3 linked regions of the Macaca mulatta genome follow. The protein of the gene in region 3 interacts with the protein of the main gene of each other region in a pairwise test. Links are inferred from orthologs where the notes say so. Each region holds a gene or a part of one and is shown on either strand. Other genes may lie near its edges.

Evidence for each region.
Region 1: the proteins of RAB4A (region 3) and EXOC5 interact in binary tests that used the Homo sapiens proteins (3 or more experiments, as listed by UniProt). The two-hybrid records come from large-scale screens. The link is inferred for Macaca mulatta from reciprocal best matches to the Homo sapiens genes RAB4A and EXOC5.
Region 2: the proteins of RAB4A (region 3) and GRIPAP1 interact in binary tests that used the Homo sapiens proteins (3 or more experiments, as listed by UniProt). The link is inferred for Macaca mulatta from reciprocal best matches to the Homo sapiens genes RAB4A and GRIPAP1.

What each region holds. Positions count from the first base shown.
Region 1 is NC_133412.1:130,322,513-130,325,692, forward strand, and holds the end of EXOC5 (exocyst complex component 5), read right to left. Parts: intron 2,800-3,180; coding exon 2,691-2,799; intron 2,518-2,690; coding exon 2,302-2,517; intron 1,540-2,301; coding exon 1,351-1,539; 3' UTR 560-1,350; downstream 1-559. UniProt on the Homo sapiens protein: Component of the exocyst complex involved in the docking of exocytic vesicles with fusion sites on the plasma membrane.
Region 2 is NC_133426.1:49,071,083-49,074,732, forward strand, and holds part of GRIPAP1 (GRIP1-associated protein 1), read right to left. Parts: intron 677-3,650; coding exon 526-676; intron 1-525. UniProt on the Homo sapiens protein: Regulates the endosomal recycling back to the neuronal plasma membrane, possibly by connecting early and late recycling endosomal domains and promoting segregation of recycling endosomes from early endosomal membranes.
Region 3 is NC_133406.1:19,774,618-19,778,943, forward strand, and holds the start of RAB4A (ras-related protein Rab-4A), read right to left. Parts: upstream 2,936-4,326; 5' UTR 2,740-2,935; coding exon 2,709-2,739; intron 1-2,708. UniProt on the Homo sapiens protein: The small GTPases Rab are key regulators of intracellular membrane trafficking, from the formation of transport vesicles to their fusion with membranes.

The sequences.
Region 1 (3,180 bases), on a different chromosome or scaffold from region 3:
AAGCAGTTTTCCAAAAACAGGCTTAAAAGCCTGTATTAAAGAAAAAATGCCAAGAGTGAGTAACACTTAAGTTTATCCTGTTCCTAGAAGACTATGAACAACACGATGGGAGCTGAAACATTACATATAATTTAGAATGCATTCTCCCAGAGCAAGTTTACAAGGTTTATAGAATAGCAATGGCCTTTCTAAATTTTCACTTGATGTTCAAAATTTTATAAGTGATTTAATACGTCATCAAATTAAGTCAATTCCATTAACTATATCCAAGTAGGAATAACTTCAGAAATGCTTTGAAAAAGGACAATGACAGACCTATAGACATGAAAAGCAACCAGTCTTTGCAAAGCTCATCTCCAAATCTATCGATTCCTCTTAAAATAAAAGACTAACCACATATTCAGCCATTCCATCTTATTCAAGTTTAGCATTACGACAGAAAATCTTAAAGGGCTGCATTGTTGCTAAACACTGTCAATATTTCTTATATGCACTATTTAGACTATACCTCACTTTTTTTACTTCCCTTATAATATTAAAATAATGAATAAATATGGTCCTTTAGTTAAGGTCCTCCACCTTAAGTGAAATATAAAATAAGGTAGTTTTATCAATTTCTTACTAGAATTGGCTTAAAATCTATTTACCAAATAAGAAATAGTAAACTTTTAAGTTTTACCCAGAAAGCAGAAGTATTCTGATCCACTCCTAATGTCTACATAAAATATTTCATCATTTTAGTTCAGTTTATGACATTTTTTGGACTAGTACTAATGTTGTCCCTCAGAAAAAAATCCAATCAACCAACTACAGAAAGTAAACTTAATTGTTAACCTTTTGAAAGAGGCAAAAAAATTATTTATGAAAACCTAAAATAACCTGATTAACAATTGATGCTGAAAAGGTCATTAAAAACTGAGGAATAATAAATGTAGTTTTCCTGTATTTTGCCCATTATTAATGGAAAACAGAATGGCAAAATTTCTAAATGGAATATGTTAAAGGTACAAGAACCGAAAACACTGGTAACATTTCCTTTGCCTTCTGACAGCAACATTTTCTAGGATGAAAACAGTGACATGTAGTTTTAAAGAATCTGAAATTTCTACATTCAAGAATGGAATTAAAATTCAACATAAGGGGAAAAAAGCAAAATATAGTTAGTGGTATCCAAACTTTAAATAAAACCTCAAAGGTAAGTATGGCTGCTGTTTTGTTCCAGTCACTGTTTCACAAAATGTTGGCTGTGTCATAAGGTATCTCCTGTGCTTTCTATCAACCGAGGCCTGCTGAAGTACAAGAAATTCCTCTGTAAAGGAACTGACATTGAATTCCTTTGTAAATTCAATCTCAGCTGAAGTGTCGAGCAAGGCGGGCAGATCTATAATCAGCACGAAGTTGTACGAAGGAGTGAAGTATATTCTTGTCCAGATTAGCAAGTTGTTCTCCTGAGCAGACTTGCTTTAAATTATCTGGGGCAACTACCAGAAGATTGCAAAGAGCATGCAGAGTATCAAAAAGATGTAATACCATTGGAATCTGAATTGAGAGAAGAAAGAAAGTAACATTGAAACAAAACAGTTTCCAGTTTTACAATTAGCTTCTAACTTCTTACATACTGTCAGGTGGGACTTACTAGTGTGCGTGGAGTTCAACATATTAGAATTTTTTTAAAGATCACAAAGCATTAAAACTTAAAGATTTCGTAGTTAAATAAACTTACTATAATATTTCAAAAAGATTCATATGTCAATTCTCTTCAATGTAACAATCATATATACTTCAGTGGACTAAAACTAGTTATTAATATATAGCATTTTTCATAATTTAAATGTTACAGAAAAATTCAGAGGGACATAAATGAAGACAACGTTATTTTCCTAATGTGTGACATATACAGCATTAGTCATGGATGTCAATAAGTCAAAGACTGTGGAACTGAAAATACACCGTGAAGCAAAAATGTGTTTAATATTAAATATGTGGGCCACGTGTGGTGGCTCATTCCTGTAAACCCAGCACTTTGGGAGGCTGAGGCAGCGGATCACTTGGGCCCAGGAGAGACCAGCCTGGGCAACACTGTGAAACCCTGTCTCTGGAAAATAAAATAAAATTTAAAATTTAAAATTAAAAGAAAATGACTGGAACAACACTGTTTCAGGTAGAATGTGTTAATCTATCTCATACAATATCAACAAAAGTTATAAACCTTTCACTAATTGTAAGTACATAGTGATTTTTAATGATCTGACTTATGTTCCTGGGCCTATTTGCAAGATTGATGTTTTTGTATATACATACCTTGAAGTCTTTGGCACACTTCCTATATTCAGCTACATCACAAATTGCCAACATGCCACCCATACAACTGTAGGAATATTGTTGAAGATGCTCATAGATAAGTCGATGAAAACGTACTCCAAGTTCCATCAAAACTGTATCCACATTCTTCCCATCCATGGAATTTTTAATCTTCTCCACTTGTTTTCTTACGTAAGCACAGACTTTTACACAAGCCTATAAAAGTTTTTCTACACTCATTACACAGAAATGTATACCAGCTTAGCTAAAGAGGAAATACATAAGTTTCTCATTAATCTGTAAGTATAAAAGAAAAAAATCTAGGGCACAGTAGGATACACCAATGAAAATGTTAGCAAAGTATTAACAAATTGAATCATTTTACTCACATTAGTATATTGAATCAAAACATTGTTTTCATCTTCTGGCTTAAAATCTGTTTTCTTTTGTTCTGCAGCCAAAATATGCTTCATCTGTCCAATCATACAATTTAATGTCCTAGAGAATTGAGAACACAACATTCTTTAACTCATCTAACTTATTCTATGTTTATATTTAATTATATTATTTATGCTAAATTAAATCAGTTATTTAATATCCTATCACCATAAAACTCTTTCACTATTGGTAAACTTTAGATATTAGAAAAAGTCAGCTCTAGATCTTAATATGAAAGAGCTCTTGGTTTTATTATCTTTCTGCTCAAAACAGAGGGCAAAAATTCTTTGTGCAATACTTCAAGATTCAAAGATCTCAGAAGCCTGTCACTAGTTTAATTTCTTAACAACTAAGGATCTTCAAAGGCAAAAACCACATACAAGTTAACTATCCCTTTCTCAAAATTCTTGGGACCAGAAGTGTTTTGGATTTTGAAATTTT
Region 2 (3,650 bases), on a different chromosome or scaffold from region 3:
CCTCCTAGAGCCTCCTAATTCCCACCCACATTCTACTAAGTCTCCCTCCTAGTCATGGAACCAGCACCCACCACCACAGACGTCCCAGCTGCTCTCCAAAGTTCCACATACCACATGCTCCCACACTCTATCAAGCTTTCTTTCAGCTTTCATCCCAGACCCCACTTACAATCTGGGCTCAGAATCTTCCCAACACTCCATTCACTTTTTCCACTTAGCAAATATCTCCTTTTTGACATTCAAGCTGCTAATCTGTAACATCTGCTAGGTATCAGACACTGAACTAATGCAGAATGATATTACCTTTTATCTCTACTACAATCTTCTGGGTGACAGACATCACTACATGAACTGTGTAGATGACAAGGCTTTGGCTCAGAGAGGTGAAATGGCTTGTCCAAAGCCACACAGGGCATGGGCCAACCCTATTTCTGAAGCCCTTCTCCTCCCCCTGAGAGGATGACAGCCTTTCTTGCCCTACTCAAGCCCCAAGGTCCCCGCATCCCCAGGAGGGCCTCTATGCACCTGCCACGTTCTTCTGCAAGGCTGTGTTTTCAGCCTGCAGCCTCAGCAGCTCCCCATCCACGAGGGGCCCAGCTTGGGCAACCCCTGCTCCTGCAGCCCCCTCCTTCAGTTGCTGGTTCTCTCGCTCCAGCTGTTCCATCTGGCTGCAGAGCTGAACAGAGGAAGAGAAGGGGCAGAGAAGCAGAGAATCAGAACAGTATTTGCTGAAACCTACATAGCATTTGTCCATGTACTTTACAATTCACTCAATTCCCATAATGGCCCTATGATGTAGGTGCCCTCCCACTTTACAAATAAGGACATTGAGGCACAGAGATGTTAAACAATTTCAAATTCACACATCTTTTAAGTGGCAGAGTCAGAAAATACCAAGAGCATACCAAGTATGAGGACACCAAAAACCATTTTCCTCTTCCTACTTCCAACCTCAGAGATGCAATCCAAGACCTCAGGCTCCTCTGGAGGTTGTTAGTGCTACAGACAGCCTCACTGCCACCCCTCTTCTGTGGAGGGCTGGATCCTGGGCCCAGAGTTAGCTCCCTCTCATCCTAAGCACCACAAAGAGCTTGCAGGTCATTTCCAGGGCCAACACTGATGACAGCTCCTGCATTGCCAGCCGTTAGTCTTGGAGACGTATACAATGCCAATAAAACTAAGCCAGACCTCTGCCCAATTCCTGGCTAAAGTACACTTCTCAAAGCAGTCCTGAGAAAATCCCTTGTCCCCATTTTCTTTTTTTTTGAGATGGAGTCTCGCTCTGTCGCCCAGGCTGGAGTGCAGTGACACGATCTCGGCTCACTGCAAGCTCCGCCCCCCAGGTGCACCCCATTCTCCTGCCTCAGCCTCCCGAGTAGCTGGGACTACAGGCGCCTGCCACCACACTCGGCTCATTTTTTGTATTTTTAGTAGAGATGGGGTTTCACCGTATTAGCCAGGATGGTCTCGATCTCCTGACCTTGTGATCCGCCTGCCTCGGTCTCCCAAAGAGCTGGGATTACAGGCGTGAGCCACTGCGCCCTGCCCCTTGTCCCCATTTTCATATGAGAATATCGAGGCCTACAGAGAATTTTTATTTTATTGCCTGCAATATTTTCTTTTTCTTTTTTTTTTTTTTTTTTTTTGAGATGGAGTCTCGCTCTGTCACCTAGGCTGGAGTACAGTGGCACGATTTCAGCTCACTGCAACCTCTGCCATCCAGGTTCAAGCGATTCTCCCGCCTCAGCCTCCTGAGTAGCTGGGACTACAGGCACGTCCCACCATGCCCGGCTAATTTTTGTATTCTTAGTAGAGATGGGGTTTTGCCATGTTGGCCAGGCTGGTCTCGAACTCCTGACCTCAGGTGATCCACCCACCTCGGCCTCCCAAAGTGCTGGGATTACAGGCGTGAGCCACCGCACCAAGCCTGCCTGCAATATTTTCTACCCAGAACACCAATCCTTTCATCCAGTTATTCACATAACTAGCTTCTTTGCATCCTTCAGTGCTCTGCTCAGATGTCACCTTTAAAGTGGTATCCCTCAACAGAGAAAATTCCAGTACTCTCTGTCACAGCACTGTTCATTTCTTTCTTACCTAGTACTAATCACAATTTTCTTTTGTAACAAGCACAGATTCTGAAAACAGACTGCTTGAATGTGAATTTCTACTCTGCCTTTTACTAGCTGTGTGACAAATTACTTAATCTCCCTGGAACTCAGTTTTCCTCATCTGTCAAATAGGGATACTGATTATCTCATAGGCTTATTTCAAAGATTAAATGAGTGAATAATGTAGAGTACTTCAAACAGGACTTGGCACAAAGTAAGCACCATATAAATGTCAGCTATCACTACTAGCATTATTTGTTTACTGTTATCATCTTTCTCCCATCCCACCCCCAGAAGGTAAGCTAAGAGTGAAGATCATTCTGTGCTGCTTACAACTGTATTTCCAGAACATAGAGCATGTGGTGGGTACTCAGTAACTATTTGTTGAAGGAACAATTGAGCTGAAATGTCTTGGTGAATAAGGGGTAGTGGCAGGTTTAACGTAGCTCTCTCTGTGAGCACTTCCAGTTCCTGGGAGGAATTGGAGGAGGAAAGGGACTATGCAGGAAGTCTCTGCAACTGGCCCAGTGCTGGACCAGGGCAGATGCCGGGAAACAAGCTGGATTTATGGAAGAATGTCTGCCCTTGCCTCACTCTGCAAGAATCATGATACCATGGAGGCTGGAGGCAGGAAGCAGTGAGGAGTCAGTCGGTGAAGCCAGCAGTTATGTGAATACCAGGGGCTCTGAACTAGGGACAGGACCGGGGGCACTGGAATGTATTATGTAAAGGAGTGATGTCGTAAGATCTGCAGGTCAGAACAGCCTCTGTGGTGTGAACTAAGTAGAAGAAACTAGAAGTGAAGACACCAGGGAGGCGGCTGTAGAAACAGCAGATGAGAGGTGGTAGAGACTAAGGCAAAGCAGGGCCACAGGGTGGATATAAAACTTTTTTTTTTTTTTTTTGAGACAGAGTCTTGCTCTGTTGCCCAGGCTGGAGTGCAGTGGTGCAATCTTGGCTCACTACAACCTCCACCTCCCGCGTTCAAGCGATTCTCCTGCCTCAGCCTCCTGAGTAGCTGGGACTACAGGCGCATGCCACCACACCCAGCTAATTTTTTGTATTTTTAGTAGAGACGGGGTTTTACCATGTTAGCCAGGATGGTCTCAATCTCCTGACCTCATGATCCGCCCGCCTTGGCCTCCCAAAGTGCTGGGATTACAGGCGTGAGCCACCATGCCCGGCCACAAAACTGTTAAAAAGTCAAATATTTTAGAGGGAAGATGAGTTAATAGAAGGATAATATTATAGCTAATGCTTCCATAGCTGATACTATGTGCAAGGCTCTGTTCTAAGTGATTTACATACATTTATTCATTTAATCCTCACAAAAGCCCTGTGAGGAGGCAGGTACTGTTATTATCATGACTTCCATTTTAAACATTTGGGAACCAAGAACCAGGCAAGTTAAGTAACTTCCTCAAGGTTACAGTTAGTAAAAGGTAGAGCCAAGATTTTAATCTAGGCCTTCTGGTTACAGAGTCCCTGCTGGTAACTACTACTTGCTCAACTGCCTCTCCTGGTATTGTATCTGCTTAA
Region 3 (4,326 bases):
GTCTCCAAAAAAAAAAAAAGATTGAAAAAAAAAAAAAAACAAAAAACAAAAACCCAGTACATTTCATGCACTGGCCCTTGATTTTTCCTCATCCCTCTGTCAAGCTACACAGAGCCTCCTTTTACAGAAGAGCAAATGAGCACAGAGTACAAAGGAGTTTAAAGGTTAGACAAACATTCCTTCACCAGCTCAGAGGCAAATATCCAGAAGGGAGCCTGACTGTTTCACTTTTAAGGAACAATGCCATATAAATATGGCCACTGATATGTCCAAGTGACAGCCTAGGACTTGGTTCTAGGTGACTTTTACTTCAGCTTGGCAAACTTCAACTGTCCTGCTTGCTCCTTCTAAAGCCCATTTTCTTTTTTTGAGAGTCTCACTCTGTCATCCAGGTTGGAGTGCAGTGGCGCAATCTTGTCTCACTGCACCTTTGCCTCCTGGGTTCAAGCAATCTCATGCCTAAGCCTCCCAAGTAGCTGGGACTACAAGCGTACCACCATGCCCAGGTAATTTTTCGTATTTTTAATAGGGTTGGGGTTTCGCCATGTTGGCCAGGCTGGTATCGAACTCCTGAGCTCAAGTGATCTGCCCCCTCGGCCTTCCAAAGTGCTGGGATTACAGGCGTGAGCCATCACGTCTGGCCTCATTTTCTATTTATTAGTTTCTACTAGTTTTTGATTAATTTCCTCTATTAGAAGAAAAGATTCAATTCAGAATTGCAAAGTAAAAACATACTTGGAAGTTATCATGAAATAAGAATACTAATGGTTAAAGCCTTATGATCAGAATGCAATCAATCTGTGAAGCTCAAAAGTTCAGTTAACTGTGTCTGAAGTGGAGATGCCAAAGATATGCTCTATTTTATCAGTTGTTATCATTGTGTAAACGAAAAATGAAACATAAAAGGTCCTTTCTTACTGATTCATGACCCCCACTTGCTTTTCTTCTTTGGACATTCCACCCTTCCCTTGTGCTCTGTGCTCCTTACTCAGGTTAAAGAAACTCAGCGTGGGCTAAAGAGCACTTGAAAATAAAGAAGTGCAAAGATGCAACCAAAAATTGCTAAAGAGCATGTTTTCCTTACATTTCTGACTGTGGTCTCTACAGGAAGAACCAGACCACTGCCATTTGCAGAAGCATTTGCAAACACTTGTCCTGATGAAGGCATCGACTTACTGGAGGATTTCCTAAGCCTTCTAGGAACAGATGTCATGCCCCTCTGTCACCAAGAACAGGGCAGTACCAGTCACAGGAGTCACTCACTGAAGGTGGACCAAAGGCACTGTGACCCCAGCATGGAAGCCCTTCCAAAAGTTCCCATTTTTTCTTACAAGACAGACTCACGCCTTCCTCAAGGCCCTCTCCTCTCTGTCTCCTCATCCATCTCTCCAGCGTGGTGCTCAAAACACACCCTTCTTGAGTTGCCCTTCCCACAGGCCTGAGATGTTCTGTGTGTTGCCTGGCTAATGCCTCCCCGACACCCCCTGTCTGGGTCACCTTTCTTTCTAACACACTTTCACGGACCACACTCCTTAAGAACTCTTGGCTGGTTTTTAATTATTCACTCATTAGTATCACAATTGGATGAATACTGCATTCCCTCAATAGACGGTACGCTCCATGAGACTAGAGCCGTGTCTGCTGTCTTTCTGCAGGACTTACAGCCCTCCCAGCACGGTGCCCGCTTCCCTGATGCCATTCCACAGTATTTGTTGCCGAGAAGGAGGCAGCACGCCAGGACAGATGGAGACAGGACTAATTTGGCTTGAGGTATGTAATTTTGAACTTGAGCCTCTCTCTGGGACTGTAAAACTCCAAATCAAAGTCTTAATCTGAGAATACACACATCTGAAAGACTGATTAGGGACTGGTAAACATCTATTAATATTCAACTCTGAAAGAAAGTACAAGTTGTTTATTCTTACCACGCAAGGCCAAAAAAGGGGAGGAAAAAAAAAAAAAAAAAAACACCACACAGTATATGCACTGGGAAAGCTTTCGCTTATTCAAAACAGTATTTGTCGAGCACCTCCAGGTCTGGGTGCTGCAGGGGAAACAAAGATTAAACAGCCAAGGCTTTGCTTCCAAGGTGCTTACTGTCTTAAGGATACAAGGCATGTTTATAAATAGCCAAAATGCAACTCAGAAAAGACTAAAAAACACTGAGAGGGAGGGAGAAATAAACGAAGAGGTCTCCGGAGGAAGAGATGAATTAGTCTATCAGAAACTCCTCACCGTAATCCCAATGTAAAGCAAGGAATTCCAAACCAGGAAAGGTCAAACTTAAGTATTTGAGGAACACAGGCGTCGCCCTAAGCCCTTCACACGGCTCGCTGGGGATAATATAGCAGCTGAAACGGAACATCAAGCTGGCTTTCCAAACCTTCAGTTATTTACATTAGACTGAGAGGGGAAAAGCGCTAACAGTGCAGGCGCAGAGAAAGAGCAAGAGGAAACTTGAAAAGGCGGATCACTCCAATGCGCTGTGCACAGCCCCGCCCGCGCCCGGCGCACCCGCTACCCCACCCGAGCTCTCTGCGGCCCGCGTCCCCCATCTCGGTCCTAGGCCCAGACACTTCCGAGACCCGTCCCACGGCTCCGGCCGGCGCCACCGCCACCCTCAAGACCCCCGCAGCCCAAGCCCGGCCCCGCGCCGGCGACGCCCCCCGCGGCCCAATCCGCGCGCCCAGCCAGCCCGGGCCTCGTACCGTAGGTTTCGGACATGGCCGTCTGCGACATCTTGGGAGCGGCGCCGCCTCTCGCCGGGTCACCGGCTGCACTCGCCCGCGGTCCGCTGGCGCGTCTCGCTGGGGAAGAACCTGGGGCGGGAGACCGGAGGAGGGAGGGGCCCGACCGGTCCCCACGGCAACCGCCGGCCTCCCAGCGGCTGCGGCCCAGCCGGACTCCAGCTCCGCGCAGGCGCAGGGACCTCCACCCTCCGTCCGGCCGCGACCGCGAGGAGGAAGAGGAGATGGGCTACCCGAGGCCCGGCCCACGCCGCGTTCGCGCGTGCGCACGGGGAGGCGGGGGCGGGGCGCATGGGGACTTCGGCGCGCGCCGGAAGCACGTGCGCGGGCTGGGTCCCCTGGCTGTGTGCGCCGAGGCTGGGCGAGCGGCGGGTGGGGGCGTTGCGGGCTGAGTCCCGATTTCCCTCAGGGAAGGCCGGGTAGAGGCAGGCGGTGGGCAGGTTTGGGGGTGACAGAGGGCTGGGGACAGTGGGGTCCAGTTACCGAACAGAGGAGGAAGGTGCCTGCACTGGGGAGGAAAGCAGTCCATTTGCCACACTGGCCCGTCTCAGTTAAAGACATTGTCTTCGGTCATCATCTGAGGCTGTCAGCCAGGAAGAAACTTCCCTGACGCAGTTACGATCGAGGCCAGAACTTGGTTAATGTGTAACAAGGGGGCAGTAGGCCCCAGGTGTCCAGCCAGAGGCCGCCCTGTGAATGGGAGGCGGGTTCATTTACCCGTTGGGAAGCTAAGCTTTCACTCCAAACTGCCCGGCCCTCTTGAATGGAGCTGAGCAGGTGTGGGCAGAATGACAGAAGCTCAAGATGCCCAGATGCTGAAGGGTCATCGCAAGACTACAGACAGCAGCCTCTCCACATCCCATTTTAGAGGGTTCTGGATTACGGCTGAGAACTATCTCCTGGCCCCCAGCTGGGGATGTGTTTCCAAATTTAGGAGTTTTTTTGTTTTTATTTTTTAACAGGGTCTGGCTCTTGTCAGCGCAGCCCTGTCGATTCTCCCACCTCAGCCTCCTGAGTAGCTGAGGCTAGGGGCACACAGCACCACACCACGCCAATTTTTAAATTTTTTGTACAGATGGGGTCTCGTTATGTTGCCCAGGCTGGTCTTGAACTCCTGAGTTCAAGCATCCTCCCTCCTTGGCCTCCCAAGTTGCTGGGATTACAGGCGTGAATCATCTCACCTGGCCTTGGATAGTTTGGTTTCAGAAGCAAAACTGAGTTAGAATCCCCTTCTGTGGGAAATGTAGAGATAAACATTTATGGGAAAGAGAATTTTGGTTGAGGATTTGGCCCATCTGAGCTTGATCAGGGCCACATAGCGCCTCATAGTTCCCAACCTTGTTCACAATAGGTTGTCGAATGCTCAAAATATCCCTGGCTAAGCTCCCAAGTGACCTGGACTGTGTGGAAAATGCCAGTACAAAGTTTTTTTTTTTTTTTTTCCTGAGTCAATTTGGCTCCATCCTCCACATTGGCATCAGAGCTTCCCTCTTCCCCAGGGGCTATTTGGGTCGGTATTTTTCTCTTCTTTCCCATCCTAATAACAAATAAATGCAGTTTTTTTTCTAAACCACAGAGA